Linked DNA regions of Lepisosteus oculatus. The protein of the gene in region 3 interacts with the protein of the main gene of each other region in a pairwise test. Links are inferred from orthologs where the notes say so. Each region holds a gene or a part of one and is shown on either strand. Other genes may lie near its edges. The genes, in order: odad3, imp3, tfip11 and sh2d4a.

Region 1 (7,872 bases), on a different chromosome or scaffold from region 3:
GCCCTGGTTGCTGCAGTTACCTTGGCCTCCTCAGAGCTGGCCTCAGCCCCCTGCTGCAAGGCCTGGCTCTCCTGCTGCAACCTGCTGTACTGCTCCTGCAGCTCCTCCAGGCGGCGCCGGCGAGTCTCGGTGCTGTGCTTCAGAGCATTTAGCCGTTTCATTTTGTCGCACACCTTCTGGTCCATGATCTGAATCGCTGCCTGGAGACCAAGCATAGACAGGAATAAGGTGAGATAACAGCTACCTAAGTGCGTTTCAAGAATTGTTTCAGCATAACCAGTTTATTCCTGAACAGAACAAAACTGAGGCTGCGACTGCAGTACAGCCCGACAGCCATATATTCCATTTCAGGTTTTATATGCATGTGTTACACAAGAAAGAAAATTAGTGAAAAAACAGACCTAGTCTTAAAATTATTTTTTTAGATTTTTTTTTAATGTATAATGAGGCGCATTGTCCTTAAAAGCTAGAGCTATGCAGGTTTAACAGGGAATTTTCTCTTAACTCCCAGTTACTCAGTGTGCCAGTGGCTTTCAGGCTATCTGGTCACCATACAGGAATTCCCTCACCTTCCCTGTCTTATTCCTCAGGGTGGCACTCTCTGCAATGCGGTTCCGGAAGGCATCCTTTATCACATGCTCATCTCCCTGCAGAACCAGACAGCACATTGCAGAAAGTTAGAAACTGTGTTATATCTCCTCTTCCATCATCCCCTCAATCCAGTATTCCCAATTACTGTTTCACCGGGTTCTCAGCTTCACATGGGCCTTGTTCAGAAATGCAGCTCTCTGCCAAATTCACTGAAAAATTATCTTTTTAACTGCCCTTCAAAAAATGGACCATGAGCTAGGAAACCACCCTATGCATCGCTGTCATTTGAACCTGACTTAAACCAAGTTCACAAAATAAAACTTCCTTTAAAACAATTAATTAAAGGGGGGTTGATGAACCCCAAGCTGGAACTTGAGAAGTAGATGTTTTGGAAGTATAAACTTGGTCTTCCAAAGAGATCCCAGCCTAGACTCCGACTGTCCCTGGTCTTCCAAGGCCCCAGTGTGCAAAGTTTATTAGCCCCAAGTCTAGATTTGTGAAGCACAGAACCAGAATGCGGATGTAAAATGATCCAATCTCTATTCCTGCCTCACATGAACTAGTCGGCAGGACCATTGTAGCACAGACACATGATGTCTGTTTGTGCTGCGAGGCAAGAGGCCAATGGCTTCTTATCCTAAACCATCTTACTGCTAAGGCTTCAGCCAACTTCTTATGTAGCCTCTTGTTCTCCTGACGGAGCTGCAGGATGGCTTCCTTGTTCTTCTTGATGGTCCACTGGGAGCTCTCATAGTAAGCGCTTCTGTCCCCCTCTGCGAGTCAGAAATGTCATACGTTAGACTCTCCACTCTTCCTCAATATCAAAACCATAAAAAAATCTACTGTAACACATACTGTTGCAGTAAATCACCACCAGGCTCTTTTGTGCTTTTATTAGAGCTATGCAGAATGGTTTTCCCCGCACAACGTGCTTTAAAAATGCAGTGTAGCTAGCAGACGTGTGGCAGCTTAGACACCGAAGTAGCTGGTATGAGAACAGAAACCACCTGTGTGGTTTTGGATGTTTCCACCATCCCCACCCCCACGGATGAACACGCATTGTACAGGCAATGCTGGAGAACAGAAAACAGTCAGCACCGATAAGATGCTGAGAAATAATGACTCTTCTGGGGTACAGAGAAATCGCGGAACGCTGATATTGTCAGGAGAGCGCAGATATTACAATAACCCGCCGGCATCTCGAACGCACAGGTGGTTGATTCATAATAAGATGTGCAAGGCGTCCTTCCCCAGAGCTGTCAAGTTGGTGATGCCCCCACTCCCTCCCATCATACTATGATCTCTCCTAACTTCTTCCTGTACCCACAAGGACTGTACTCCAACACCACTACACAACTATAGTTGTAATATTTATTAATCAAAAGTATTTTTGCACTGTTCCCCGAATTACCTTGCACTGTTTTTGTCCTGTTATATTTTCTCTGTTTGCGGATTTTGCACAGTTTTGATTACGTTATGGTAGTACACGTTACTGTTATTGTTATTGTGTTAGTCTATTGTCTTATCTTTTGTCCTGTTTATATACTGCACCTGACCGACTAATGAGAAACACTTTTCATTATACTATGCACCTGTGTAAGTATAATGACAATAAAGTTGAATTGAATTGAGTCTGGTGCGCAAATCTCCCACTTTCTGCGCGGCCCCCACCCAGCGTTAGCTGCAATGTTTTAGTTTAGTCATGCCCTATAAACTTTGAAGGCTCGTCCTTCCAAGCGACTGATATGGTCCACGTTTTATCATGACAAGTTCTTGCCAACTCTAACACTATCCTTACATAATCTACTATTTATGTACTACTTACTGTACAGTACGACTGTACAGTAAAAGTCGAGATAAAGCGCCTACAAAATCAACTTTAACTCACACCTTTGTTAAATTACGCGAAAGTTGCCGATTTTAAGTTAACACGTTTCTTTAAAATTGTATTTTATGCACCGTGGTGCGTACAATTAATTTAAACCAGACGAACTCAAGTTTCTAGCTAAGGGACTTTAAGGGACGCGTTTAACTGCTTCACTCAGATGACAGGCTAATATCAGTCCAACGTTAATGAAAAGAAATACCTACCAAGAAGCTGAATTTTCCTTTGGAGCTCCGATATCTGCTCGTGTAGAGGAGGCTTAATTGCGTCAGTATTAAACGAGAGAGGCATGTTTACCAGGTGCGCCTTGAATGTGAAAAAGATAATGTGAATAACCCTATGCCTGACGCCGATAACGTCGACCTAGCACCCAGAGCTTTCGGGTGCCACCGTTATTTCAGTGTGCTGCGCTGGCGCCGAGTTTCGGTAAAATGAATTTTTCCTCTTGTAAGGACTCGGGCCTTCTTCACACAGCTACCTAGGCTGGAGCTGTGAAACACTAGGAGCTTGTCTGGGTGCCCAGCAACAGCCATCCATCTCCATGGCCACAGTGGGAGATAAACAAATCACGTTGCCAGGAAAAAGTTCCACCGCAATGCATGCTGGGCGTTGTAGTTGAAGACGATCATGGCCGTGCACACTACTATCTCCTACACCGAGCATCTTTCAAAATACACCTCATTGCACTGCCATGATTCGCATCGCTGGTTCTTACTATCAGTGTTTCTAAGTCTCCTTACGTTACAACAGCTACCTATCTTGGAGAACTTCGTAATTGGAGCAGTTTCTTCCCGTTTGCATAACATTTCAACAACCTGCAGCTGGATTCCCTGCTCCCTGCGTTCAAAAGATTTAAACTTTAAATGTAACGTCATTAAAAGTTACAATACCCTTTAATGGATATTGTATCCTGCTGGATACAGACATTTTGACCAGCTGTGGGAGGGGCTAGGAACATGTGTTTTTTTATCCAATTAAAACATACGAGGGAGTCATGTGTTAAGGACTTAGGTCATGTGATTTCATCTGAGCATTCTGGGATAGACTTGTCACTCCTTTCTGAATCTGTTGTGATGGAAGATGGAGAAGGCTTCACTGACCATATGGTGAGTACCTGTATTTATTTTATACATAACACAAATTTTGGGGGGACATTTTTATAAGCTATTCATTTTTAAGCATGATATGACATGTTAATATGAAAAAAAAATGTGAATTATATTTGTACTGTTCTCCAAATCTGACATTAAATATCTGTATCCCCTGGGATACGTTGCCTAAATGGGGGTGTAAAACAGTCATTAATAGCACTATGTGTGCCTGTTCTTTTAAAGGCCATAAGTATTAGATATTAAATAACAACAACTGAAATGCTTTCATCACATAAAGGTGCTAACTATTACTATTTACTAACTATTTCAGGGAATTTCCACAAAGATATTTTATAGTAGGCCTAGGAGAGGGATTCAGCCACCTGTTGGCTCTTCAGATTCAGAGCAAGGGACAAGTGAGGAAGATGATGAAGCCTATGTAGATGCAGAAGGCCGAAGAGAAGATAGCAGCATTAGCAGTGAGGATAGCAGTAGTGACTGTAGCTGTAATGTTGAGGCAGCAGAAGGACACCTGTCCATACAAATTAAGAAATGTAGGTGATGTAAACCATTAAATAGGATATTGTTGATAAAGTAACACTATATACTGTGTGTTCATGTGGGTGTGTGCACTTACTGTACATGAATGTATGCATGTGGACTAGAACCCAGACAAAAATATTATGTCCAAGACTGCTAACTGACCATGAGAATGTGTACATGGAAGTAATACATGTTATTTATAGAATGTATAGTGAGCAAAAAAGGGGAGTGTGAGTGGTTTCCAATAAACCATTATATATTTCATTCCTTTCTAGGTGGAAAAAAAAAACGATTTTGAACACCAGTCAGCTGCAACACCAACATATTTCATGGCACAAGATGGAATCTTTTCTCCACCAACCTATTTTTCCAAATTCTTTAATAATGCGATTTTTGAGCTAATTGCTGATCAGACCAATCTGTACTCATGCCAACTGATTGGTGGAAGCATAAACACCAACATCAGTGAAATCAAAGCATTCATAGGTATCAAATTGTTCATGGGTGTAGCGAAAATGGCTGCAATGGAAGATTAATGGGCCAGTGATACAAAATATGACAAAATAGCAGATGTCATGCCAATTAAGTGCTTCAAATGTTTGTCCAGAATACTACACTTTCAAAATAACCTGGTCCCTGAGTCCCAAGAAGACCGGCTGGTGAAAATCAGGCCTGTGCTAGACCATATGAGAAAGAAATGCTCTCAAATTAAAAGTGAAAATCAGTTCTCGATTGATGAAATGATGGTGCCTTACAAAGGTCGAAAAGCTGGAAGTCTGCGCCAGTACCTACCTGCCAAACCCAAGAAATGTGCGCGCTGGGGTATCTGGTTTTGTGCATGACTTCTTCATCTACACAGGGAAGTCTACATTTGCTTGTGCTACACAAATTCCACTCAAAGAGTTTGGTTTAGGGGTCAATGTAGTTTTGCATCTTTGCAAAACCATCAGGAACGCCCCTGACTGTGTGGTCTATTTGACAACTTCTTCACATCTCTCAGCTTGCTAACCTATTTGAAGGATTCTATGGGCCTCAGAAGTTTGGGAACCATTAGAAAATCACTTGATGGGCTGAAAACTGGAAGATGATCAAGAACTACTGAAAAGAGGAAGAGGTAGTTTTGACTACCGAGTTGACAACGATGCACAGCTTGCAATAGTCAAATGGGCTGACAGCAAAACAGTCACCTTGGTGAGCACATGTGCTTCTGTGATGCCTGTAGGTTAAATGAAGCGCTTCTCAAAGAAGGGAAGACAGATATCTGTCCCATGTCCACAGATCGTGGCAGAATACAACCATCACATGGGAGGTGTGGACTTGACTGACATGATGATTGCATTATATCGCACTCCAGCCAAGTCCCATCGGTGGTACCTTTGCATATTCTGGCAACTGATAGGCATTGCTGTCGGTAATGCATGGTTGCTTTATCAGCATGACGCAACAGCAATTGGTCCAGTAAAGCTGAAGAAACTGAAGGCCTTCAGGCTAGATGTTGCCAAAGGTCTCATCTATCCAGAAAAACAAAAAAGAGCCCGGCTTTCCCTAGGAAATGAGAATGATGCAGCCGTGAGGGTTGTCAAGCAGCCAAAGGTCCCACAGCCTATAGATGAAATGCGCTATGATGGAAACAGCCACTACCCAATTCTGTCTGTGAAAGGGAGATGCAGGATGTGCCCTAATGGACCATCATGTGTGAGAAGTGTAATGTGAGGCTTTGCATTGTCACTGGACAAAATGCATGCAACTGCTTTCATCTTCGATGAAATTGATGAAATACTTTTGAACATAAGGACAGGTTCATAGTACCAGTAAAACAATGAACTGTTGCAATTTTGGGCCCAAATGAATTGGGGTTTTTGTAAGACTTTACTTTTTTAACATTAGAGTAACTTGTAAGTTTTAAGTTTTAACACCAGTTGTAATTTTTTAAACACCAAAGCAAGTAGGGATAAGGGTGTATTGTATGTTTGGCATTCCTTTTTTAATGAAACATAAAAATTAGTGAGTTTTAATGGTTTTATGGTTCTTTTGACTATGGGAGCAGTTGCCAAAAACAGTTCAGATGTATACCCCAAATGGGCACTGTATCCTGTGGGATACAGTTTGTAAAATGGAAAATAAACACACAGTTTTGAAAAAAAAAACTTATGAAATTGTGTTATTTGAGACAAAATCCACTAGAAAAGAACAAGTAAAACATTTTCAGTTAAGTTTTTTGGTACTTGCCAATTAAAGGGTTAACTCTGGTAGCTTTAGCTCCTATTAATGTTATGCTTAGATGGTAATTAAGACTACAATGATAGCAGGGTCAAAATTCCTGCCTAAGCCAGAGATGAAGAAGCCATCAGTTGCTACTATAAAAAACCAAATCAGCCCTGTTGGTGTGGTTAGAGATACCACATGGCGTTGTACTCTCACACAAACCATCAGCTTTTGTACCGATAACGCTTCTCGAAGTCTCACAGACCCCGAGAGGACCACACCTTTCTGGCAACCCTCTGCCGCCAGTCCCTTCTCGCTGCCGACACCGCTCTGCCTGGAGAGGGGGCAAGTGAGCAACGCTTCGACTGGACCGAGAAATGCACAAATGAAAAATGCCTTTAGTTAATCACACACAGCCCCAAGTTTACAGAAGCCACCGCAACGTCTGTACGAGTCTGGGTAGCCCATACTCTCAAGCACCTTGAAATTTCATTCTTTCTCAGAGTTGCTCCCAGACTGATATTCACCAAACTTAAGTTTTGTTAATTGCCTTGAAGCACGTCGGCTAAGCTATCTATAAGCATCACTATCATTTTTCCCAGACGTTTTTAGAGTTTCAGCAGTCGTTGTATGTTATACATATCTTTCAGTGGATACCTACCATGACCAGTAGTTCAGATCTGCCACTGATCAGACCGAGAACCACCTGTTCCCAGTCAGTACTGGATCAGGAGGTTCCGTGGCAATCGGATCTATACATCGATACTCATCAAATACATTGCCACTTTTAAAGAAAACAATGCAAGATTCCAAAAGTAAACTTAATAAAGGTGTTGTATCCCAATGACCTATAAATGTCAACAGACATTTATTATTCTGCTTACTCCTTGGTTTAAGTCAAACCTCAGAGCAACTTCAAAATCTCATTCAGTCTCCAGGCAAGTGGCATGACTAAAAGAGGAGCCTGAAATTAATATGCAGTCCAAGCATACTTCCAAAATTGGATTAAACACATGGCAACTTTAATGCATCTCAAAACAAATGGATTGTACAATGCCATACCCAACATACGGACTACCACTTGGGTGTCTGTGCATTCGTACAGCAACACCGTGAACCCCTAAAACCGCAGATTGCGTAGTCTACATTCATATTCTTCATCTCGCATAATGGGTTAAAAAATAAAGTAACAAAAATCTGCAAAGGCAGTTTAACATCAGACAGCATTTCTCTTCCCACTCCCCCCCCCCCCCCCCTCTTCTCCTTGCTCGGTGGTCCACAAGTCCACCTCCAAGAATAGAAATCCAAAAGCACTTGTTCTTCTCCCTAATAGACTGTACAGACATGAGTGCCAGTGAAAAACTCTGTAGGGTAAGCTCTCCGAATCCCTACACACCACCAAGCTACTGAGGCACACAGGCTCATATTGTGACCTTTTAGAACGGACATGTTAATATGTTTACCTTTAAACAGGCTTTTTCTACAGAATCCTTGTTTTTTTCAGGTCAAACAAGGGGACGATCATCTTCATTATCACTTAGGCTGGCCTCAGGTTTC
Region 2 (7,591 bases), on a different chromosome or scaffold from region 3:
TATCCCCATTACCTGTACAGCACTTTGAGTGGAGAGTCAAGAGAAAAGTGTGAGGATTATTATTATGTGCTGGACTGCACTGGATCCTACGGGTGGAGCGGTGGTACTGTGGCTAAGGATCTGTGCCTGTAGCTGGTTTTGCCAGTTCAAATCCCGCGGCTGGCAGAGGAATCCTACTCCCTGGGGCCCTGAGCAAGGCCCTTAACCCCAACTGCTCCAGGGGTGCTGTATAAATGGCTGACCCTGTGCTCTGACTCCAAGCTTGGGGCAAGTTGGGGTATGTGCAAAGACAAATTCTTAATGCAAGAAATTGTATATGGCCAATAAAGTGATCTTATACTGTATCTTCCAGTTCTGCGAAAGGCTTCTGCAGTACAGCTCCCTCATCTCTTTCACACATCAGATTTCTGGGCAGCACATTGCTGAGTGTCACATTCCCACCAAAACGCAAATTCCTTCCATAACTTAATGAAATTTGACCCTAAAAACCTTTACCAGCCCCTAGCACATAAAAAACACATTCACATGGCCATTTTTATCTAGGATCATCTTTATGTGAATCTTTAAATGAGCTCAGAAGATTATGAATGTGTACACAGAAGGCTCTCTAAAACAGCCTATTAAAGCTGTAGCTGAACTGGGATGATTGAATTGTACAGGTCCTGCTTAAACGCTGACATGATTTTAAATTTTATCTGTATGAGAATGTCAGTGTTACAGGCTGAATTGCCACCAAACAAAAAGAGATGGCATTGTGATGACCCCCGCTCCATATTTCAAGGGTGATCTGTCGTTTCTGTCATTTTGCAGGCCACTGTGAGAACGTGTTTATGTTCTGACATGTAATGTTTCTTCCATTAGGTAGCCAGTACACCTTTAATTAGCACCTTCCTTAAACACGCTTTATTTCTTTGTGGTGATATTTTTGTCTTTCGAGCCTTGTTGGCCTCCCGGGAGTTTCACAGTGCCGTGATTGTATAGTTACTGTTTGTGTGGTTTCCGTCTCAGCCCTGCCTGTCCTGGGGGTGTGATCATACTGTAATACAGACATAGCTCTGCCCCTCCTGGCCAGCTCATCAGTAGGGAAAGAGGCTCAGTGTCTTTTCACACCATTGTGCATGGCTTCCTCTAGACCTGATAGCTGGTGTCACTTTCCACCACTGATGAAACACTGCCTTCCCAGGCATGGCTATTTTGTCATGATCACACACAGCCATTACAAAACAAACACTACCAAGCCAGACTCCACTGCTGCAGTGATATTGTATTATTGCTGTTAGGTCTTTTATTGTTCTTTTTTTAAGAATGCATTGTTATTGGAATGTGAGGCAGTAAGGTTACAGAGTACAAGGCAGTGTTGCACTGCAGTAACAGTGGGTGGGATAAGATCATTTTGTGGTCAATTTCTTGTAGTAGGAATTTGTCTTTTCCCAAACCCCGACTTGCTCTCCATAAGACACACAGACAGGGAGAGAAGCTGGGGGTCAGAGCGCAGGGTCAGCCATTTATATGGCACCCCCTGGAGCAGCTGGGGTTAAGGGCCTTGCTCAGGGGCCCAATGGAGTAGGATTGCTCTGCCGGCTGAGGGATACGAACCCGTAGCCTTCCAGCCACAGGCACAGAACCTTAGCCACAGAACGACCACACCAGATTCAGTATTTTCAATCAGATACTGCTGATCTCAATGTACATGTCGCCTTTCAAGGAGCCTAAACATACACATTAAAACAATTTCTCTACAACAGAGAACACTTCAGAATGTACAAAAAAGAACAACAAGAAGAAGAAAGAACATTTACAAAAGTTACATGACCTAGGCACACAAATGGTCAAGTTCAAGGTCAAGTTCACGTTTATTTGTCATTCCAGTCACATACAAGAATACACTGGAATGAAATATCGTTCCTCCTGGTCCACAGTGCAAATACAGGCAGGACAGACAGGATACACATAGTGGAAAGTGCAGATAGTGCAAATTACACAATATACACAACACACTGGGGGGATTTAAACCCTGTTTCTGGAATTGGGGTGGGTGCAAGTAGATTCCAGGGTGTTGAGGAGCCTGACAGCCTGCGGGAAGAAGCTGTTACAGAGCCTGGTTAAACTTGTCTATAGCTCAAGAGTACATGGGTAATGATCGAACAATAACAATGGTACCAGCTCTGAACTCGGCCTAGTCCGTTATCTCATCCCTACCCCTGACATTTAGGAGAAAGCCCATGAAACAAGGTGGCTTTTGCAGAGAAAGGGTCGGAGCATTACAAATGCAAGTAGGAAGGGAATTCCAGAGAGTAGGAGCAATGGAACTAAAAGAATGAGGTCCATTGTTACGATCATTACAATGCAATGCAGTATAGAAGAGCATAGTGCAATATAAGTGCAGAACTTCTTCGGTGTGGCGTGGCACTATAAAACAGTAATGTAGTATTATTTTAGTGGGGTTCAGTGTTATTGAACTGTGATATTATTGGAGTTCAGTATTATTGAACTGGCCTACTGTGATAATTTGAACTATTTGATCTGCTACAATGTTAGTGTTAGTGTTGGTGAACTAAATTAGCTGCTCTGTTTCATCATTAGGCATTAGGCACCATACATACCGAGTCTCTGTCTCTTCCACAGTATATAGTAAAGCCCCTGCATGTACCTCCGGGGTGTCAGAGCTCACAGCGTGGCCTTCATGTCCCTCATGCTGAAGCCAAGGTTTGGCGTGACAAGTTGAACCTGCTCTTCCACATTCCCAGAGGGTACAGTCTACAGAGTTTGTGATGAGCACCCCCCACCCCAGAGCATTTTCCTTCTGTTCTGTTTGGACAGGACAGGGCTGGAGCAGTTAGCGGTTTCTGCCTCACCCTCTGCCTAACAGTGTGCTTTGCCTTTCATGCCCTTTTGTCTTTGAGAAAGAGTAGACTTTTCACTTTGCTCAAGGAAGTCAGAAACCTCCACTGCCCTAATTACAGACCCCAATCTGAGAATCTGCCCCTTACAGTATCAGTACCATACAGACTGGAGCTGAGGAGTCCACTGTTGGTGTGGCTCTGAACTATGTGACTCTGGTAAGGGCATCCCCAAAGCTAACGGACCCTGGCCTCCTGGGCATGAATAGAGCTCACACAGCATGGACAGAAGACAGATTTTATTCTGAAAATGCCAGAAATGTAGAGTACAGCATCTCAGCTATGACTGTGGCTCAGCAGATTATCTGCCTGCCCGCTGCTGGTGCTACACAAGAGCTGAGATGCCAGTTTGTTTGCATCATAGAGCAGGGGTATCTGATCCTGGTCCTACAGGGCTGGTGTGGCTGCATGACTTCCAGGTCTGAAGATCTGGAAGTAATTGGGTTGTTAAGCCAATAACGAGCTGACTGACAGTGCCGGATTTCCCATTAGGCACTTTAGACACAGTGCCTAGGGCCTAAAAATTTTTTAGGGCCACGAAGGAGGGAAACACTAGTGACTAATGAAAAATGAGCTGAAACAACATGCTTGCGATCGGCTCTAGGTGCTCCAAATCAATAATCATGCGCTATTTAGCGGCTGTTCTAGAAACGAGAAGTATCGAAGTGATGGTTGCTCAACTCGCTCCATCAATCACAAGGTTTAGCATGAGAATAGATAGATAGATAATACTTTATTAATCCCGTAGGGAAATTGATAGTATAAATCAATTAGTTAAAATAGTTTAAAGTGCATCATGTCAATCGACGTAATTCAACTGGGGTTTACCCCTCTCTTTGCACAGTTTGGAGTGCAATAACCTAGGGCCTACGAACATCAAAATCCGTCCCTGCTGACTGACTTGGAATGAAAACCGCAGGCACACTGGCCCTCCAGGACTAGGACTGTCCTCCCCTGGCAGAACCCTTTGTTATTTGGACTCTTTACTCTTCCAGAGGTCTCAAACAGTTCCTGGAAGGCCAAGTGTCTTCTAGTTTGTGTTCCAACCATGTTCTCACATAGCTGGTCTGATTATTTAAGTAACTGTATACTTGTAATATCTCTAACCAGGCTCTGAGGCGATTTATAGGAAACTGTAACTGAAAGTGAAAGTCTTGTTTATTCCACTCTAAAAGGCCTCAAGAAACATCCTGTTACATCCTGAAACTGTTACATGTCTGATTCAGAAAATAATTGGGTCAATTACTTAATTGACTTCCCAGGTTGGAACAGAAACCAGAAGACACCAGGCCCTCTGAAAATGAGTGTGAGACACCTTTGCTCTTCTAAACACGTTTTCACTTAGACTTCCATACTGGGATCTCAGATGGTTTGGTGGTATTGAAATGGAATTTCCTGTTTGCATTCAGGGTCTATTTCTAAGTGAATACTGGAAGATTCGATGCAACGCTGTTTCTGAGGCACAAAAACAATTTCTTCTTCTGAAATGCGGTTAAACCTCCTAAAAGCACTTCTGCACATTTATACTTAACTCTTTAGCGAAGGCTGAAGCTACAGTGCAGACGCTCACGTGTCGCTGCTGGGGGTAGGTGACGTCAAAGCCCAGCGATTTCTGCTAGTGACGGAGAGCGCCGGAAAGAGGAACTTGGAGAGTTTGTTTAAGTTTTTGTGTCGTTTTGCAGTAATATAGAAAGATGGTGAGAAAGTTGAAGTTTCACGAGCAAAAGCTCTTGAAGAAAGTCGATTTTATCAACTGGGAAGTGGACAACAACTTACACGAGGTGAAGGTGTTGCGTAGATTCCACATCGAGAGGAGAGAAGACTATACCGTGTAAGGTTTCTCTGCTGATTCAAACTAAACACGCTGGGCTGTGCGCTTTACTGCACACGGGAACAGACATAAATTGCGCAAGCTCTTTGTTGCTTCTGCGGTTTCGAGAAATAGGAAAATATCTGCCCTTTTTTTACAAACAGATAACTTGTAGCATAAGTTGTTCTGTACGCATGTTTTTTGAAAGGGTATTACTTGCTAACGGAACCCTTTATGCGTGTTTGTTGTGAGACCCATGCTTAAGAGGCTCGTAGAAACGCTGAAACTACTGAAGCTTCACGTGAAATACGCTTTAAATTGTAAGTCTCATGCTCAGACGTGGGCGCCGCCATGACACTTTTCTCTTGCCGCGGGGTGCTACATCGGTTGTCTTTTTCTTCGTCACGCAAGCACTTTTACTTTTAATCAAGTTTAGAACCAACTAAAGTAGATGAAAGTGAAGTTGACAGTGGCATTGCCGTTTGCGTTTAGGATTCGTAGCCTTTTCTCCTGCTGTTTGTGTCGATGGGTTGGGGGACTTCGAATCCCAGCATGCTCCGCGGTCTGTTGCGCTGCAGGCTGCCTATATCCGAGCGCGTGCGTGGTTTTCCTCACTGCGGTGCGTATCATGGATCAGTACTTCTTCTGCAAAACCAGAAAAAGCTCTGAAATAATATACCTCCTTAACCGAAACTGCCTGGGGTTTACGGCTGGAATTGTCAATGTTTCACTTCTTCATTCCTGTTAAAAAGAGTTAAATTGGGCTTCCTTGCCTTTCAATCGCATCAGGTCTGATTTTAACTCCTTGGAACAGCTGCACCAGAACCGCACACGGACTCTGGACAGCAGTGTGTAAAGGCACTCAGAATACTGCCTGGGTCTCTCCAGGCCATCGCTATAAATGAGAAGCTTTTCTCATTAGAGCCATCTGCTTAAATAAAGCATTAAACAAACCGCTCCTGCGATCAGTCATAATCTCCATACTGTTATACTTCATTTCTCTGTGCCCCCCTTCACTATCCACCTCTCTCGCTGTCATTATTTTCCTGCCGGTATCAAATCAAAGTTTATTTATCAAATGCTCAACAATACAGCGTGCAGCAGTAGTTGCTGGTAATGAAATGTCTTTTCTGCAAGCTCACAAAAATCACAAAATAGAGGTTATGAAAATAAGGTTACATACTAATAGATGTAATAGAAATTGAATAATGAGTCGAGCTGCTATGTGTCCATGGTGTATGCAATAAATACAAGTAGTGCAGTTATGCTGAATACAGTGAAAACTGTGTCCATGTAGCCATTACAGGTGATTTGCTAAAGGATCTGCAGGTTGGCTGTTTAGCAGTCTTAAACGGTACCCCTGTTCTTCTCTCCTGTTTGCTGTTGGTCCTCCCTGTTCACCCCTTCTCCCCCCTCTCTGCCCGCCTCTCCCGACAGGTACAACAAGCTCAGCCGTGAGATCCGGCAGCTGGCCCAGAAGATCCGGGACCTGAACGAGAAGGACGGCTTCCGCGCACAGAACACCGCGCGGCTGCTGGAGAAGCTGTGAGTCGTGGGGCAGGGCTGTGTGCGCGTGTCGGACACGGAGGGAGGGAGAGGCATTCGGCAGCGTGGGCTGACCCGGTCGGCCAGGCAGTCGGTCCATCGGTACAGTGTTGGGAAAGGAATGGACAGGAACAAAGTCATGGATTTATCTCATAAAGATGTCAACTGTGGTTTACAGAAATGCATTGTGGGATGCTCAGAGGGTTAAAACCACTGTTTCTCATATAGTGTGACCTGTGTGATATTACAGGATTTTCAAGACCTTTAATACAGCTGAAGGGCTGATATGCCCATTTTTACATTAATAAAGCAGGTCCAGCTTCTTATGAAATCCATTCTATTTCAAAACTTCAGCATTTGTCTGAGCTTCTAGCGATGATTAGTGATTTAGTTTTCATAGGCAAAAGACTTTGTGCCACTCATTCATTCACACTGTTTAAATTAGAAACTGTGCTGTTTTTTGGGGAATGCACATCCACAAAACACCGTTCAGTTTCACAAATTAAATGGAAATGAGTTTCATAAGTGTAGCATCCTTATATATTGTGGTATCTCAATTTCTCTCCTCTAGCTACAGTACAAAAGTATGTAGTAATCTTGAAAAACGTCTGTCTTTTTTGGATTGTGTTCAAGCTTTGTTCTTAATCACAGGCTTCATTATTTCAACTTTCTTTTTGAGGCTTTTTTTAAAATTTCTTGTAGAACTTAAAACATTTAATAGGTGTCAAGCCTGTGCTAATCAGTCCAGGACTGCCCTCATTCAGGTGTGTAAGGTGAATTATATGAAATATAGCCAATTGGGCTGAAGTAAAAGGAAGATCACAGACTCACTGTGGGAGGTGTCTGATACAGGGCCATTCTCTCCTGTCTCTGTTCATCGCTTTGATCACTTACTAATAGTCGTTTAGTCAGAAATAGGGGAGCAAGTGAGTCTGCGAGCCGAGGAGAGACTCGATTAAATTCTGTGGGCTGATGTTTTTGGAAATAATGTGCTTTAACTGAGGCCTCTCTGAAACCAAGAGGCGAGTGCTGAAACAAGCAGATCAGTTACAGGCAGCAGTTAGCTCTGCTGATTAAGGGCCCAGTTGGAATGAAAACCAGCAGACTCAGGGGTACTTCTGAGAGCCCCTGCTCTGAGCCCTCCGCAGTATGCACTTCTGCTGGCGTCTTTCCTCGTGCTTCTTCAGTGAAGCCCTGCTGCTCTCCAAACACGTTTTAATGTGCACAGTGGTGATTTTAAAGCAGTGGTGCTGGTCACGGCCTCCCTCCACTCACAGTGGCCAAGCCAGTGCAGGTGTGATGATTCACAACTACCCAGGTAGGGATCTACATGCTA
Region 3 (8,401 bases):
GAGAGAGGGTAGTTCCAGCTACAGGGACAAGGCGGGACGCAGAGGGTAGTTGCAGTGAAAGGCATGAAGAAAGAGGGCGTTACAGACATATGGACTGACCTGTAGAATATCCTGCTCCGTGAGGTCAATCAGCAGCTGCAAGTTGTGCTCCAGCTCAGGAAGTGCGAAGCCAGGACTCCGCTGGTCCTTGGGGGCGGCACCAAGGGACGGCTCCTCTGGAACACTGTGCTTCTGGCTCATCTGACTGTAGCTGTAATAGACCTTCTGCTCACGGCCTGTCATATCAATCACCTGCAACACAGCCCAGGGGACAGACTGATACACTTTCAAAACACAGCAGAAAACTGTAAAGAATACTTTAATTTATTTTAGACAATTTGTCATAGACCTATGCTATAACTTACCTCAAAACTAGACTAGATTACTATGACTACATAACTCAGCATAATGGTGATAATTCCAGAACACTAGCAAAGAATACTGCTCTTGTATCTGGTGTGATAAAACATGCAATCGAAACACTAGATTAAACGCAGTGTCTATATCTCCCTGCACACCTTGACCTGGGCCAGCTCCGCAGGGGGCGCAGTCATGCTCTTGCCCACCGCCTGCCCCCGGGCCTTCAGCTCGTCCACCGTTCGGTACGAGTATTTGGGCTTCTTCTTCCCAGCCCCTGGGTCTCTGCGCCACTGGCCCAGCTCCCGCTGGAAGTCCTGCGGGAAGAGAGGAGATTCTGAACGGGCAGCTGGGCTCCCTGCCTGGCCAGCGGGGGAGAAGTGAGAGGCAGCGGCTCTCGGGCGAACGTGAGACTGGAGTTTCACACGTGACTCAGAAGGGCAGACAGCAACGGGAATTTATTCCACACCTCAGTTAAAGCTGCTGCACAAATGTAAAGATGCAAACCAGCAAGACACAACACATGAATGAAAAAAATGAATAAATGTGCTGTGGCTTTGTACATTTGTATGAATGTGATTCAGCAGAACTAAAAGTGCAGCAAACACCTTTAAAAAAGGACCTGAGCGCTGGCTGCCTTTTACCAGAAAGGAGTAAAAGCTTCACAGAGGTAATCCCGAGGCACACAACCAGAGACTGTTGGGTGCACATTAACAGGCCAGATCCGGAGCCCCACTCACCTTTTCCTCCTCTTCCTCAGAATCCACGATGGGGAAGTCCTGCAGGGACTGCTGGGTCCTCTCTGTGCCATAAGCTCCCACTGCCCCCTTGCCCTTGCGCACCTTAGCCTCAATGGGGTTCACAATACCTGGGCAAAGACATAGCATCTGGCACTGAGGAGCAGCACTGGCAAAAAAAACTCAGTAATGACAGACAACAATGGGCACACAGTCACACTGTCAGGACACTGAAACAAGCACACAGATCCCACAGATCTCTCATCATTACCCTGTGCATTCTTGCCCAGCCCTTTGCCTGGCACGTAGCCCATCTTCTGCAGCAGTTTCTGCCCAATTCCACGGGTGTGTTTCTCCCAGGTGCCCAGGTCCTGCCCACCACGAGTGCCACTGCCAAATGCCCTCTGGGAGCTCTTAAAGTTCCCCCCCTGGTGTGCAAACAGAGAGAAGGCAGACACACAGGGGAAACAGAACCACATCAGTGTGCTGTATTACCCCGGTGGCAACAGCCCACTCTGTATGCATAGCTGTACCTGCAGCAGGTGCGAAGAATGAGTAAGGGACAGAGAAAAGAAAACTCCAGCCACCGGAGCACAAGCAACTGAACTGAAGGCCATATTGTGAAGAGAGGACACTGCAGCGAGCCGTCAAGCAGGATTTACAGAAGAAACGGGAGGTTCTTCCCCCCCAGCCCCTGACCTCAACCCTTTCTCACCGTCTGCAGCCTTCTGGGCGCTGACTCCCGGGGGGGCGCCTGGGGAGGGTCTGCCTCTGGTTCTGAGTCGTCAGATCCCTCCTGTTCTCTCTCCTCGGCCGCGCTCTTCCGGAGCCCCGCGCTCACGAAGCTGACAGGTGCAGTGTAGTCCCTGGACCTGGACACAGAGCAAACCATGTAGGAAACTGCCCCAGATATAAAACATTATACCCACTTTAATAAGGCTGTGAGATTTTCCTGAAGCAATTTTAATAATCCCCCTCTCTGAACTGGCTTCATCACGCTGCTCTCCTCCCCACTGAGAGCTGCTGTGTGGTGAGCAGACTGGTGCAGCCTCCAGGTGAGGCTGCACACTGCTGGTGGTGGAGGAGGTAAAGAGCTTTGAGTGTAGTGTCCAGAAAAGGACTATAGAAGAGTAAGAATTATTATTACTCTACAATACAGAGGATACTTAAGGTTTTTATTTTTTTTTATGATCTGAATGCACTACAGCCCTCGGGTTTGCACTGAATTCACAAACTCCACTCTCTTACACTGACACCCAGATTCAAGCAAACTGGCAGACAGGGGCACGGCGCACCTCTTCCCACCAAAGCTGGGTCGCTCGTCATCGGAGTCGCGCTCGGCCCACACGCCGTATGTCGCCTCCTCTTTGGTCTGGCGGTGCCGGCGCCGGTCGGGGTTGAACTCGTTCTCTAAGTCCCAATCCGTCACCTCGAAGCGCTCGACCTCCACACCCTCCTCCTCCTCCTCGCCCCCCCTCCCGTACAGGTGGGACAGAGACATCCTCTGGGCGGCGCTCGGACTGGCACACTGCGGTCTGCAAGGGAAGGCAGGACCGTGAATGTATTTTTGCTGCTTATAGAAAGATATCTTCACCGTGATAGGAGATCGTTAAAGGATATCCTGTCAGATATTCTGGGATTTAACAGGCACCGAGAATCCAGATCGGGCAAAAAAAAATCGTGTAGTTTTTCAGGTTCTGCTCGGTCGGGTTCCGTTCTGTGGCCCAACGTCCAACACCAGAGTGCGGTCCCGACCAGGGGCGCCCAGCGCATCCGGCACGTCACAGCTCATTTTCAAAATAAATTAACCAGCCGGCAAGTAAGGCGTTTCCCGATTAGGAGACAGAAAACTGGACTCCTTTACCTCGATGGATGACGATTAAACACTCAGCAAACACCAACCTGCTTCCCTGCCGAGTATTTTCGTGGGGAAATTGCCGGACTTCGCTCGAAAACTAAATCTCGCCTTAACCCGAGAAGCGTAAACAGAGCGACTTCCCTCCACTTCCTGAGAGTGCACAGTCTACACCCGTCCCCTAGAAACGTAGACTAAAATTGTCTAGAAAAATAGTCGCCGAATCTGTGCATATACCAAATAATCAGAGTGGAATGTTTTAAATAAATAATGTGCATGGTGATATATGCAAGCCTTGTGACTTCTTGTTTCCTTCTGTTCGTATGATCTGACTCCTACCGGACCCCTCACAGTCGGAACTTTTGTCACGCGTCATAGTTTCCGCCAGGGTCTTTGTAAGGCCGTACGCGCAGTCAGAAGTGCAAGGTGGTGTGTGTTTGGTTGAGGGGGTGGGATCAGTCCAGTGGGCTCTGTGTTCAGCCGGGAGGACCGGTTTCATCTGACAGCTCTGAGGTTCTCTGGTAGCTGAGTGACGCTAAGATCAGAGTGAGCACTGGGAGGGTGGTGGCTGCATTTTACTACTGTTTTTGACACGTTGCATTTATTCTTGATAGAAGAGTGAAAAAGAGCGTACGGCTCTTCGTAAGGTTTGTTCTGTTCGGAGCGAGGAGGGACTTTTTGAGTCAGCGCTCCACACAGACGGTACCGGGGACTGTTCTGAGCTCACGGTTAGGGTTATGTACATCTATACCGTCTCCGTTACGTTAATGCGCTGTGGAGGATCTTGACAATATTTTCAGAGTAGTGCAACACGGAAAACGTGAAATTACGTCAATTAACGGAGCGCTTAAGTTGGACAAAAGCCAGCGCAGGTCCGACCCTAGTCTTCCCTCTCGGCAAGGTCACAGAGCCGTGATCGCAACCGCTGCGCGGAGCCCGGCGGTGCTGACATTGTATCCTGGTCTCCTAGGATCCCAGCTTTCCCAGAGGGATGGCGGGCGGCAGCGGGGAATGGCAGAAGGTACAGCGGAAGAAGGGGAAAAGCCGGCCCAGGCGGTGGGGAGGACAGGGACAGCAGGGTAACTGTGTCCTGGACGATGCACCGGACACTCGGCAGCTCCGAGAGAGGATCACCGCAGCCATGTGAGTCTCTCACCGCGCCGGGCAGTTCTAGGAGGTATGGCTTAGGCCATCAGAGAGCGTTCCAGCGTGTCGGACAGGCGCCTGCAGGAGAGGCTGAGCTGAGCGCCGTGTTGCCTGTGTAGACCCTGATGACACAAGCACCTCCGATGTGGTAGCGTCGCCTTGTGCATGTTATAACACTGTACCCGACACTGCCTCTTCCTCCTTCTTTCAGCTCTGCTCTGTTGGGGCGATGGGCGATAGCAGTGATGCCAAAGTCCTCAGTAGACTCAGCAGTTCTTCCCATGTGAACACTGAAGGCTAAATTTTTCTCTGTGTATTTCAGGAAAGAGCTGAGGATTGAGGATTTCTGGCAGGTGTGGAGAGGTGAGCTAGTCTTCAGGAGTGGACTCCCAGCCAGCTGTGTGCTGGATAATCCTCTTGTTGGCATGTACCCGTACAAAACAAATCAGAGGGCACAAGTGTAAACTACGTAGAACTGCATTTGAAACCAAGACCAGACAGCACATCCTCACCTAAAAGGTTGTGAGAGTCTGGAACAAGCTGCCCAAATCAATATCTTGGCTTCCACCAAGAACTGTCCAGAGATCCTTGGATCAATAAAGCTACTATCCACCAATCAGGCCAGATGGGCCAAGTGGCCTTATTTTGTTTGTAATCATTCTTACATTCTTATGTCCCACAGTCACAGCTGTTCAGATTAATCAGCCATTAGGTTATGGAGGTGAAGTCATCTCTTCTAAAATTGATCACCTTCCTGTTTTTCATCCTAATGTGAACATTACAGAATACTAGTTTAAGAAATGCTTTAAGCTGTTTAAATGTTTCAGTTTGTTTTTTGTCAAAACTGCAAGTTGTTTTCTGCCTTTGTGTAAAAGTGTGGGAACTCAGTGTGGTGGAGCGTGCTTTCTGATTGTGCAGTAGAGTAGAACCCTGATGAATAATGTCCTGTGTCACTCGCCAGGAATCGGTGCTTATTCATTCAGAGGCATCCTTCCTCACAGACCTGGTGTTGGGCTCAGCTGTGTTCTGCCTTCTTTCTTCAGAGCTGCTTGTAAACAGCCTGGCCAGCGATCCCCCAGCTGAGCTGGGCAGCGGCAGCTCTCCTTCCCAGGACAAGGAGAGTGCGTGCTCTTCACACCCAAAGCGCGAGGGCGCTGTCTGTGCCGCGTCGGAGCTGGACTGCGTGTGTTACGGGCTAGGCAACTTCTCCTCCTGCGTCTCCTCCCGCTACCAGCTGGCTCTGCTGCTGCTGCTCCTAGAGAGCCTGCAGGTACCTGCAGCTCCGTGAGCGTCACTACGTCTCTTGAGGTGCTGGATGATGGACGCGATCTGTAACAGGAGGTTAAAGAATTTAAGATGTTAAGGAAATGATCATGTCCTGACACCAGCTTGCCCAGAAGGCAAATTTCTCAGATACCTGTAGTGAGAATGACAGGTGGCCACATGGTATCTTTCTTATTAGCACAGTTTAATGGAAGCAAAATCATCAAAAGTCTTAAACGAGAAACACTTATTAATGACATTGAATTACAAGCTGTTATATAAGGTTTTTACAGAGCCTGCGAATCCCTGAGTCCAGGCTGTCTCACTTCCTCAGGGAGGTGGGTGTCCTAACGCAGAGCCAGGAGACAGTGCAGACAGTCTGCTTCGGGAGGCCATTAAACTGCCCAGCAGGCAGCTGCTGCAGGTCAGGAGAGGAGAGGAAGCTGTGATGGGCAAACCTCTCAGCCGTTGAGCTGGTCGTTCCAGCTGGGAACTCTGCTCTTCGCGCACATCTTGCACAGGTCTCTGCCTTTTCCTGCCTCCCCGCCTAGGAGGAGTTTTGGGTTGGTGTGCAAGTCTGAACCAGACCAGGAACAGGCTCAGCAGCTCTGCGAAACCCGTATCGGTGAAATGGTAACCCAGATTATCCTTAACTGGGCGTTGCATTTGTTGATTATTAAAACCCAGTATATGTTTTGAAATGAAATCTGAAGACAGGGCAGTGGTTTGCAGAACACATGAATGTTTGGGGGAGACACTGTCTTGCCCCAGTATTGACACCATCTTGCCCAAGGTGCCGCCCCAGCGCTGCTGTGTGTATGACCCGGTGTTCTCGGCGGCAGAGACCAAAGTTCTGCAGGCCCTGGGGCTCACTGTGCTCACGGAGAACGAGGTGAGAGGAATCGCAGTGAGAAGACAGCTGCTGCAGCCTGCAGGCTGAGTGCTGAAGCGGATATTAGTGTAGAGGACTTGCAGCCAGGATGTTCTCGTTTTAGGCCCCTGACTCTATCGCTGGTTCATGGGAGCTGCTGAACATCTCTGGGCTTTTTACTTCAGATAAGATGTTATATTTAGGGGCGGTATGGTGGCACAGTGATCAGAATTGCGGCCCTGGGTTCAGTTCTGGACCCGAGGTGCTGTCTGTGTAGAGTTTGTATGTTCTACCCATGTTTGCGTGGGTTTCCCCCAGGTGCTCCCACAGTCCAAAGACATGCTGGTGGGTCAATTGTCTTCTGGGAAAACTGGCAGTGGTGTGAGTGCCTGCAGTGGGCTGGTGTCCCATCCAGTGTGTTATCCTGCCTTGTGCCGTTGCTTGCCGGGATCGGCTCCGGCTGCCCTGCAACCCTGAATTGGATAAACCGGTTATTGAATGTGAATGAGCATTAGTGACTGCAGCAGGAGCAGTCATTCACTTGCTTAGTCTCTCTGCCTCAGAGAGCCTGTAACCAACATCATCAACTGAACCCCAGTTCTTCTGTTCAGTAATTGTCTGCAGGCAGAATTGCTTTGTGTTATTTTCCTGGGTGCTGTTCTGAATTGTCGTCTGTTGTGCTTTGTTGCTGCTGCTCAGGAGGGGAAGCGGCTTGTGTGCAGACCCACCCTCTTCTACCTGATTCACTGTGGAAAAGCACTGTATAACAACCTGCTGTGGAGAAACTGGAGCACTGACAGCCTGCCCCTGCTTACCATAGTCGGAAACAGTTTCTGTGGCATTCAGGAGAGGTGAGGCAGTTCCATGACCATCATGGTGTTGTTCTTTTCTTTACACAAAGGATTGTGGGAGTATGGAACAAGCCATATCACCTTGACATACTGGTGTTGGTGGAGGGGTCCCCATTACCATTACGCTTTGAGTGCAGTGTCCAGAAAAGTGCTGTAGAAGGATTGTTTATTGTTGTTTATTATGTGCCCAAACTGTTCTGAAGCCAAAACCCCTGGTTCTACCAGGAAACACCTGGATGAGATCTGATAAATTAACTACCAGTTACCAAAGGGGCTAGATGGGCCAAGTGGCCTTATATTATTTGTAAGTCTTCCTTATATTCTTTCCTCTCTTTTGAATTTTAGTCGCATGAAGCACCCTGATAGATCTGTAGCCTGAGAGTGTGGAGAGATTAGAGCAAGCAGCTCATGGCAGTAAGAGTTGGTATCGATGTTTGTTTTGCAGCACGCTGGAAAGAGTCCTCAAGAGAGATTATACCTACATCCGGGACGTATCCTTTCCTGTGTCCTCACCTCTGGACACCCGTCCTGCCCTCACTGTTGTGGACAAGAGCCGGAAACTGGGGCTGCCAGTATTACCAGTGAAATTTAGAATCAATTCTAAAACAGCATGGCTTGCATACGATGACTTGATGATGTGCTCTGTCTCTGAGAGTGCTGGACGTTCTGCTGAGATCAGTGGGGCAGTTGGACCTGCCCAGTGTGCTTTGGCATGAGGCTGTTTCTGGGCCTTCTGCTTCTATTTTGTTAAAAAGAATGTAAAAATATTCTGCTTTTGTTCAGTTTTATTTCCTAAATGTTTTAATTCCTGATTGAATGGTGAATGAAACCTGGTTACAATTTCAAGTTCCTTTTCACTGATTTCTTTCCTCTCTGTTTTTTTGCTGTGTTGCTATTTCTGTCAAGGCTGGGGCAGTGTCCACCAGTGGACATTGTCCGTCAGTGTTTCTGGAAACCTGTGCATTGAAAGTGAAGCACGGGCCCCAGCCCTGGGTGCTGTATCTGCTGAGTGTCGTGTCACAGCTGTGCTTTTCCTTCATGGCGGTGGCAGATTATGAGAGCATGTGAGGAGACACCGCTACCCTGCCCCCCCCGACTTCTGGACGTCTTCAACAACACCGTTCTCTTGCGTTTCCCTCCGGAGCTCCTGGCTTCCCTGCCCTCTGACACCTGGGCTGACCCCCCCGAGCCGGACTACCAGCACTGCCCGGACCTAGAGATCATACAGGCTGCAGGGGCGCTGCAGGGGGCAGGAGGGGGAGGTGGGCATCCCAGCGCCGGC
Region 4 (8,159 bases), on a different chromosome or scaffold from region 3:
TAGGTTACTGGCTTCTGGGAAAACTGGCCCTAGTGTGAGTGTGTGCTTGTTTCTGTGTCTGCCCTGCAGTGGACGAGTGTCCTGTCCAGTATGTACTGTACCCTACCTTACGACCATTGCTTCCCATTTTTAATGTCAATACTGGTGAAAATCGAGAAAGAAAAACACAGAAAGGACCCAATATGCCCCATGTGTCAAGAGCACAATTCCTTTGCTGCGCATGAACCAAATCCTCTTTAGAAATGTATTGGGCTTTTGCCTGATGTCCACCCTGATGGACATCATCAAGTGTGGCACAGATGTGCACAATGCTGTGGTAACTGTTGTGTGCAACAGACTAATTGATTGGGAGGTCTGAACTACAGAACTCGCCTTTAAGTATAGAATGGCTACCTGCCTGCATTACACTACATCAGCACGTCCTGATCAACTGATCATTGTGCGGTGGCTAAGGATCTGCACCTGTGGCTGGAAGGTTGCCGGTTCATATCCTATAGCTAGCAGAGGAATCCTACTCTGTTGGGCCCCTGAGCAAGGCCCTTAACCCCAACTGCTCCAGGGGTGCTGTATAAATGGCTGACCCTTTGCTCTGACCTTTCTCTCTCTTTCTGTGTCTCATGGAGTTGAGGTATTATATTCCTAATATAAGAAATTGTATATGGCTGATAAAGTGATCTTATCTTATCTTATCAAGCCCAGGGACCTCACAGGCTGCCCTCCTGGCAGACTAATCCAGAAGGACAACACACATCCTCTGGCTCCTTAGCTAACAATGGTTTTCTTGTAAGATAAGGTGACACATGTGCTATGAATGCTGTATTTACCCCAGAACTTTAGGACTAGAATGAAGGAAGGGAGTGTCTGGGTGATCGTGGGGAGAAACCAGACATAACAAGTGGGGACTACATGAGGAACAGTCCCTCCTTCCTTTGTCCTTTCTGTTTGCTGTCTGTTCCCCTGTTCCACGACTGGTTCAGCCTGCTCAGGGTCCCCACACAATCCAATGTGTCGACGCTGATCATGTTGTAATTGATGGGTGTCGAGCCAAACAGTGTGTCGTTCAATTGGAATGTTGTTTGTCACTGGAGACCCTGAATAACGAGAGGGGAGCAGAGACAAAGGAGAAAAACACAACAAACCCTGACAGAAATACTGGCTGTTACATAAAGTAAACATACCCCCCAACCCACTGTCGTACAACCACTTTTTTTGTCACCCCATGACACCTACACATTGTTGAAATCAGAGATCACTGAATTCATGCTGAAAGTTTGCTCTCCCTGCAAACATTCAATGACATTCTATTCAGCTGTCATACTTCTGCATTTCAGTACAAATTACATTTTTGCATCTAACGCACAAAAACGGTTTTTAAGTGAACAGAACAAACACTCGTATTACTTTTTCAATACAGTTTAGCAATGCTTAAAGGCCATTTACATTTTAGGTATCCTGAGAGTTAACGTGATTTAAACTAATCAAAGTACGAAACCATAACATAGACTGTACTGAGCCGCATTAAAAATGGTTGAGATTTTAAAAATGCATTACAAAAACTGGTTACAAAACTAATATGCTATGCTTTGAATGCCTCTCAGTTTAGTTTGTCTGGATACGTCCAACTGTGAAGGGTAAATAAATCTATTGTTAACTGTGGTAAAGGAGATTATACAGGATATTTATTTAACAATTGCAGGAAGCAATCATCTTTAATTTACCTTGGTGATGAATGAACTATCTTCGTCAGGCCGGTATCTGAGTATGGTATACTATGAGCGCCATCTTGTGTTCAAAAGTAGTTAATATTTTTCCTTGAAGATCTGTTCATTTTTGATATTATTCCTCTGGAACCTAAGATCCATGAGGGGTGGCATGGTGGCGCAGTGGTGGCACTGGGGCCCTGGGTTCAATTCATGGGGTGCTATCTGCATGGAGTTTTTGTGTTCTGCTTGTGTTCGAATGAGTTTGTCCTGGGTTTTCTACCACAGTGCAAAGACATACTGGTATGTTAATTGGCCTCTGGGAAAAGTGTTCTTGATGTGAGTGTGTACATGTTTGTGTTTGTGTCTGTCTGCTCTGTGATAGACTGGTTCTGTAGATGGATGAAGATCTGTGATACCAGTGAAAGGTAGTTAGGTGGGAGTTGGGGTAGCTGCTGAAGCAGTCAAAGCCATATTATGTGGGGTAGATGTTTGTAGATGTTTGACTGTAATACATAAATAATTCCTTAGTGAACACTATACTGAGAAATTAGGAACCACACAGACTGCAGGACAGCGCTCCCTACTGGTCCCACTAACATGTCTTCCAGCAGCACCTTAATTTTTTTAGCTTAGACTGTAATTTAGGGGTTTATACAGTATGTAGAACCTTGTTGAGGAATTGGTGGGGAATGGTATTTTTAATTTTTTTTAAGTGCTGTGTCATATCAAATAAAAAACGTGGTCTTGAGAACATTTGTGTATGAGTGTATTTACTATGGTTATTGAAAAATCAAAACAAATTAAAGAATAGAGCCTGTAAAAACAAGGTAGCATTGCTTTTGTCTTAATATGCCAGCAGCCATATCATGCTGTAACTCACATCTAGCAACCCACTGAAGCTCAGCAGGTGTGATCCTGGTCAGAACTTGGACGGGAGACCTCCTGGGACAAAATAAGGTTTCTGCAGGAAGTGTTAGTGGGGCCAGCAGGAGGTTCTCACCCTCCTGTCTGTGTGGGTCCAAATGCCCCAGTATAGTGATGGGATGCTATACTGTAAAAAAGACTGTGCAGAAAGAGGGGAGAGTGAGTTGCTCTCTAAACAGGAAAGGAAAGACAAGTCTTGCAGGAGACTGGGTTAACACTGGAAAACACCAGTCTGTGTTTTCTTTGGATGATCAAGTGTCAGGGCTAGAACCGTCCGCTGTGGAATGTTCTACTGCACAGAAGCCAGCAAACAACGTTCTACCACTCGAGACAGAGACTGCCACACAGCCACCAGCTCCACAGCAACAGCCCTCTACAACTGAAGGAACCAGACTTGAAACTGAATCTTGGCTTCGTGCACCTCCACCTGGCTTCCACGATATGCCTGAGACTGAAGAGCCCATTAAGAGGAGGGCAACTGCTCTGAGGCTACAGCAGGCACAGTGTTTTTTTTGCCCCAGACCAATGATGATATGCCTCTCCAAGAATGCACGTCTGTCTGCAGTACCAACCATCTGCCTGTCTCACCTCCTACACCTGTTGGCATCAGAGACACAGACAGCACACAGAGTCGCTCTGTGTCCTCAGACAAGCTCTGCCAGATATTGGGGAGCCCGGATGTCATTTCTGAGCCACCTGTCTCACAGCAGCAGGAACGCAGGCAGGACACGAAACACATCTTGTCTCCAGATAACAATGGCCTCACTACCGTTTATCACTTCTCAGCTACAAGATTGGACAGTGTCAACTCATCTGGGAGCTCACCTGGAGCTAGTGGGCACTGATTTGGGCCAGAGGAGCATCACTCCCGGTAACCCAGTGCTGCTTAAGAAAACCAGGCCAGCTCTTGTGGTGGCCAGCTAGCTGCCTGTGGTGATTTGGCTTCACATGAGGGTACCCTTTAGGGAACCTGGTTGAAAAGGGCCAACCAGTGACCGGCTTGATACCCCAGAAAGAAGGAAACTGGACTGATCGTGGGTTCTGATTTTTCTCATTCCGATTACAACATGTTTATAATTGGTACTTTTGTTATGTTTTAACAAGTTTTGTATTGTTGTAACATTTTTATGTCCTAACGTTTTTGTTTGTTTTGCATGTAGTGTGATACACTATAGTTCTGTTGTTGTTTTGTTTCACTTTATAGGAACTGTTTTAGTTATTTGGTTATTATTCAATATCCTTTTAACATGTGTTTTCTTGTTTTAACAACTTTAATAACAACTAATAACTTTGCTGTCATTTAAGTTGCCTCACTGTTACAAAGTTCAATATTTAGTGGAGGACATGGCAAATAATTGTTTTGCTTTTATTACTAGATTATTTTAGTTTTACCTAACCTGATATGGTTCTGTTTACAATGTTTTTGTGTTTAGAATCATAAACATGGTTAGTTTACACAGAGCATAGCTTGTGTCTCAGGTCTGCTAGTTTAGTGTTGCTATTTAAATGTTAGTACACAACTGCAGCTTTAATGATAATATGTTCGTGAAGAGACTCGGGTTTGTAGCAGCATTGCTTTCCATTCACTGTTGACAAGGAACACATGCCCAGCATTGTCTAGGTTAAAGGTAACTTTGACTGTTTTCCTTTACTTACAGCTTTACCTGGGACCAAATCTAAATCCTTTTATGTCTTAGTCACTTCAAACAAAAGTCACTTTGAAGTAGAGGAAAAGTAACAGATTTTCTCACTTTTATATTAATGTTTAACAACAATATCTGCACCTTTGTTGCAACTTAAAGGCTGTAAGGCACTAGTACCAACTGCCTCCTGCCAGGCATGCAGTACCTGATCTAATAGTTAGAAATTGTGTGCTTAGTACATATGTAGGGTTAAATTTCATGGGAGTCTGTGATACTATGTGTACACAACACAAACACATGTTCACACAAACATACAAAAGTGAAAGTGGGAAAATCTGTGAATTACTAGCCTCGGATTTCAAAAACCCTACAGTTATCATTTTTACACCTATATCTGCATCTCGGCACAGGAAACATAATATATTACTCTGTAAATGTTAGCTTTGAAGAGACATTCTGAATGCATCATTTGTGTTGAGAGTTAACCTTTGTAATGTGTACGTCCCAAAAGAAAATACTACAATTACAAAACTACTGCTGTACTTTTGATCATTCTTAATAGGTAGCTATTAAATACTGTTTATACGCAATTTTGTATTTAAAAAAATCAATTAAATTTGCAATCTGTTCATGTAACAGATCAATAAGAAGGCGGGGGGAAACCATAAACAGAGATTTAGCTGCAGCCTTTCGTAATACCTGGAACAGAGGTGTTCTTGGGTTGAAGCTTACTTTCGGCATTGGGCGTTGGATGTGACGTGTACGACAAAACAAACGGACAAAGAAAGATAAAACGAAATTGCTTCATGGTATATGGCGTACAGAAATGTCACGAGACGTTGAAGACACATTGCCGGAAAGTTAAAAGTCAGGTTTCTTGGTGACGTGAAGTTATCTTTAAAAGGGAGAAAAGTGCAAGGGACGGGAGTGGTTTGAACTCATGGTAAGGTTTTTCTTTTCATCTCGTTTTATTTTCTTAGTATGGAGCAGCGTTGTGTGACATTTATCAATGTTTTTAGAGTAGTTACAATTTTTCATGGGGAGTTCTTTCTGTCTCTGAAAATGTCTTTTTTGTAAACCATTTTTAGTAAATGAAAGTACTTTCCATTTCCAACGAAAATCTCAATGCAAAGCAATGAATGAATTCATTTCAATGCAAAGAAAAACCAACGAGATTATTCTAATCTTTTTCACTGTGTCGGGCTATCACTAAATTGCATAAATCCTTTATATTGACGTATCCTTTACTGCACAACAGACTTCTGGCTATGCGGGCAAACGTAATTTGTTGATTATTCGAGTATTTTGGGCGTATCGATTCTAACTAGCATTGTAGTCTAAGTAGTTTGGCATAGGAAGGATTGTTTCTTATACATTAAGAAAAAAGGCTTCTAACACAATATTTGAGTAATATATTTATTTCCTTTCTGCTAAAGCTGTTTTGAGAGTCCTGGACCGTTTTGGCAAAGAAGCAAGCATTTGCCATTAATTCTTTACTCCAACGTCGTGTCCTCACAGCATGACCAAAAGAAACGCATAAAAGTTACTTTACTATTGAATGCGCAAACATTAAAATCTCATAATAATGATTGAAATGAAAGCCAGTGATTGAACACGGGATTCTTTCAGACTTGTGACGTAGCCTATTGTGTTCAGATTTGTTGTGTTTGTGTGTTATTGGTAGTGTCTCGAAGCCCAATTGTATGTTCAAAGGTTTTTTTAGCCCATGCAGTTGGATACGTCGTATTTCAACGTGTATTTTTTAGATTTTTTTAAATTCAAATAAAATTTTCCACGGGATTATCTTTATCTTATTTTAGCTTTTAAATATTTGCACGGCTAGATTTCCACATGGGGTTAACCCATTCAGCACTTCCTTGTTGTACTTCGTTTATATTTTGGGGATCAAATCATTTTAAAGCGAAATGCAGTCTTTGCCTAAATGCACAGCAGACATAAGGGGAAGCTTAGGCCCACTTTTTAAATCTTTTTGCTACAAAGAAATTAGTTTCCAGCGTTCTAAAATTGTAAGTGTTAAAGATGGAAATCTAGGCATCTAGTTAAATAAAAAGCAAACAAAATGTGAATTTACAGAACCAGCTTGAGGTCACAGGAAGTGTGGTAACTCTTAAAGAGTTCACATAAAGCTGTTAGTATTATATTAAATTCTGTTACATGATCTCCAAATAATTTTATATTATTTAACTGTTTTCCATAGAAAATGCATCCTGGAGCGCACATAATGTGCCCTTGTAATATCTGGAGTCAGGGCAACCAATATAATTATACAGTCTTTGAGCAGAATCTACATTTTAAATGAAGAAACAACAGAAGGGTACCAATCTACTCGCACAGCTTGAACGACTGTAACAGTTTCTTGCTTTCATTATCTAGTTGCTGAATGGACTTTCATGTCAAGGTCATATTCTACCAGGAAAAACAAATGTATTTTGCCTCTGAATGGAGAGGTATAAGCATGGTTATGTTTTGAAATCATTTAAAATTTCCCATTGGAATGGAAATATTTGGAGAATGACTCATTAAATCATTTATGAAGTCTTGACAGGCATAGTTATTTCATATTATTTTAATATTGGTTAATACACTGTATTGGTTTTTCCCTGTTGTTTAATTGTTTCATAATGAATATGGGCTAGTGGAGCCAATTGTGAAGCAGTTTAAGAAGCTCAATTTGTGCACTTTTGCATTTGTATTTGTAGTATTCAATATTAAATTACCATAACCTCAACCTGCTTTGATTTTAGTTCAGCTTTCCATGCTTGTTTTGTCTTTTAGGGAAATACCTAGAATGTAAATATTTGGCCTGGCTGACATCCATTCATGAGATACAACTCATCAAAGGTGATTCTTTTTTAACCCCAGAAGTTTTCCTTGACTTCAAAGTTTTTACAGTTGCGATCAAAACTGTTTACAGCACTTGGACTTTTTCACATTTTGATTTGTTACCATGTGGAATCATAATGTATTTAACTGGGATCTTTTGCCATTGACACTAAACACTGTATGTCAAAGTGAAACCCAAATTCTGTTGATCCTCCTAAATTAATGATAAAAATAAAACGGAAAATAACTGATTGCATAAGTATTCACCTCCCTTAAGTCAATATTTGAGAGAGGCACATTTGGCAGAAATCACAGCCGGGAGTCTTCTTGGATTAAATCTCCACCATCTTTCCACCCCTGGACATCAATTTCTGTCAATTTTTCTTTGCAAGTCTCCCAAGTCTCTGGTCTGTTGCAGACTGCAGAAGGTTTTTTTTCTGTGCTTTGCTACTTCCACTCTGCGTCATGTCTTCACAAGTATTCCAAACACTAACACAGTGAAGCTGCCACCACCATGCTTCACAGCAGGGAAAACGCTTCTCAGGATGATGTGTGGTGTTACGCTTGTGCCAAACATTGTGTTAAGTGTTAAGACTAAAGGGGTCAATTGTGGTCTTTTCAGACCGTAGAATCTTCTTTCTCTTGGTCATTGCATAATTCAGTTGAGAATTGTACTTTATAGATCCCCTCCTGTGTGGATTAAGTTGAATGCAATGTGTTAACTACCTTATTCGATGACACCTACAATCTCTAATTATTTTGTGGCAACTGGGTTTTGCAGAGAGAGAGAGGTTTAACTGGTTGTATTGCATTTATTTAGAAGGCAGCTTATCTCTTATTTGGCCCCTGTAGGCATTCAAATTTTAATACTTAGTTGAAGTATGGGTTTTTCCTGGTGAATAGGATATTAGGCCACTGAAACGCCTTGTCTTTACATACTGTAAATACATTGTATGTTTTGTTGTATGTAGCATGGTGTTTGTATTGTCATTATTAATAAATATTTGTTTAATCAAGGGTACCTAAATTATTATTCTCTTGCACA

What was found.
Region 1: the proteins of tfip11 (region 3) and odad3 interact in binary tests that used the Homo sapiens proteins (3 or more experiments, as listed by UniProt). The two-hybrid records come from large-scale screens. The link is inferred for Lepisosteus oculatus from reciprocal best matches to the Homo sapiens genes TFIP11 and ODAD3.
Region 2: the proteins of tfip11 (region 3) and imp3 interact in binary tests that used the Homo sapiens proteins (3 or more experiments, as listed by UniProt). The two-hybrid records come from large-scale screens. The link is inferred for Lepisosteus oculatus from reciprocal best matches to the Homo sapiens genes TFIP11 and IMP3.
Region 4: the proteins of tfip11 (region 3) and sh2d4a interact in binary tests that used the Homo sapiens proteins (3 or more experiments, as listed by UniProt). The two-hybrid records come from large-scale screens. The link is inferred for Lepisosteus oculatus from reciprocal best matches to the Homo sapiens genes TFIP11 and SH2D4A.

The regions. Positions count from the first base shown.
Region 1 is NC_090706.1:17,751,961-17,759,832, forward strand, and holds the start of odad3 (coiled-coil domain-containing protein 151), read right to left. Parts: upstream 3,308-7,872; 5' UTR 2,768-3,307; coding exon 2,683-2,767; intron 1,365-2,682; coding exon 1,243-1,364; intron 648-1,242; coding exon 570-647; intron 201-569; coding exon 21-200; intron 1-20. UniProt on the Homo sapiens protein: Component of the outer dynein arm-docking complex (ODA-DC) that mediates outer dynein arms (ODA) binding onto the doublet microtubule. Involved in mediating assembly of both ODAs and their axonemal docking complex onto ciliary microtubules.
Region 2 is NC_090704.1:31,045,883-31,053,473, forward strand, and holds the start of imp3 (U3 small nucleolar ribonucleoprotein protein IMP3), read left to right. Parts: upstream 1-4,486; 5' UTR 4,487-4,594; coding exon 4,595-4,731; intron 4,732-6,147; coding exon 6,148-6,255; intron 6,256-7,591. UniProt on the Homo sapiens protein: Component of the 60-80S U3 small nucleolar ribonucleoprotein (U3 snoRNP). Required for the early cleavages during pre-18S ribosomal RNA processing. Part of the small subunit (SSU) processome, first precursor of the small eukaryotic ribosomal subunit.
Region 3 is NC_090717.1:14,664,106-14,672,506, reverse strand, and holds the start of tfip11 (tuftelin-interacting protein 11), read right to left. Parts: upstream 3,152-8,401; 5' UTR 2,998-3,151; intron 2,669-2,997; 5' UTR 2,635-2,668; coding exon 2,429-2,634; intron 2,006-2,428; coding exon 1,849-2,005; intron 1,562-1,848; coding exon 1,405-1,561; intron 1,265-1,404; coding exon 1,137-1,264; intron 714-1,136; coding exon 558-713; intron 292-557; coding exon 100-291; intron 1-99. Other genes in the region: srrd (SRR1-like protein), read left to right, coding at 3,980-4,131, 4,457-4,497, 5,178-5,404, 6,191-6,289, 6,968-7,119, 7,565-7,610, 8,171-8,401. UniProt on the Homo sapiens protein: Involved in pre-mRNA splicing, specifically in spliceosome disassembly during late-stage splicing events. Intron turnover seems to proceed through reactions in two lariat-intron associated complexes termed Intron Large (IL) and Intron Small (IS).
Region 4 is NC_090698.1:26,585,816-26,593,974, reverse strand, and holds the start of sh2d4a (SH2 domain-containing protein 4A), read left to right. Parts: upstream 1-4,979; 5' UTR 4,980-5,213; intron 5,214-7,066; 5' UTR 7,067-7,132; intron 7,133-8,159. UniProt on the Homo sapiens protein: Inhibits estrogen-induced cell proliferation by competing with PLCG for binding to ESR1, blocking the effect of estrogen on PLCG and repressing estrogen-induced proliferation. May play a role in T-cell development and function.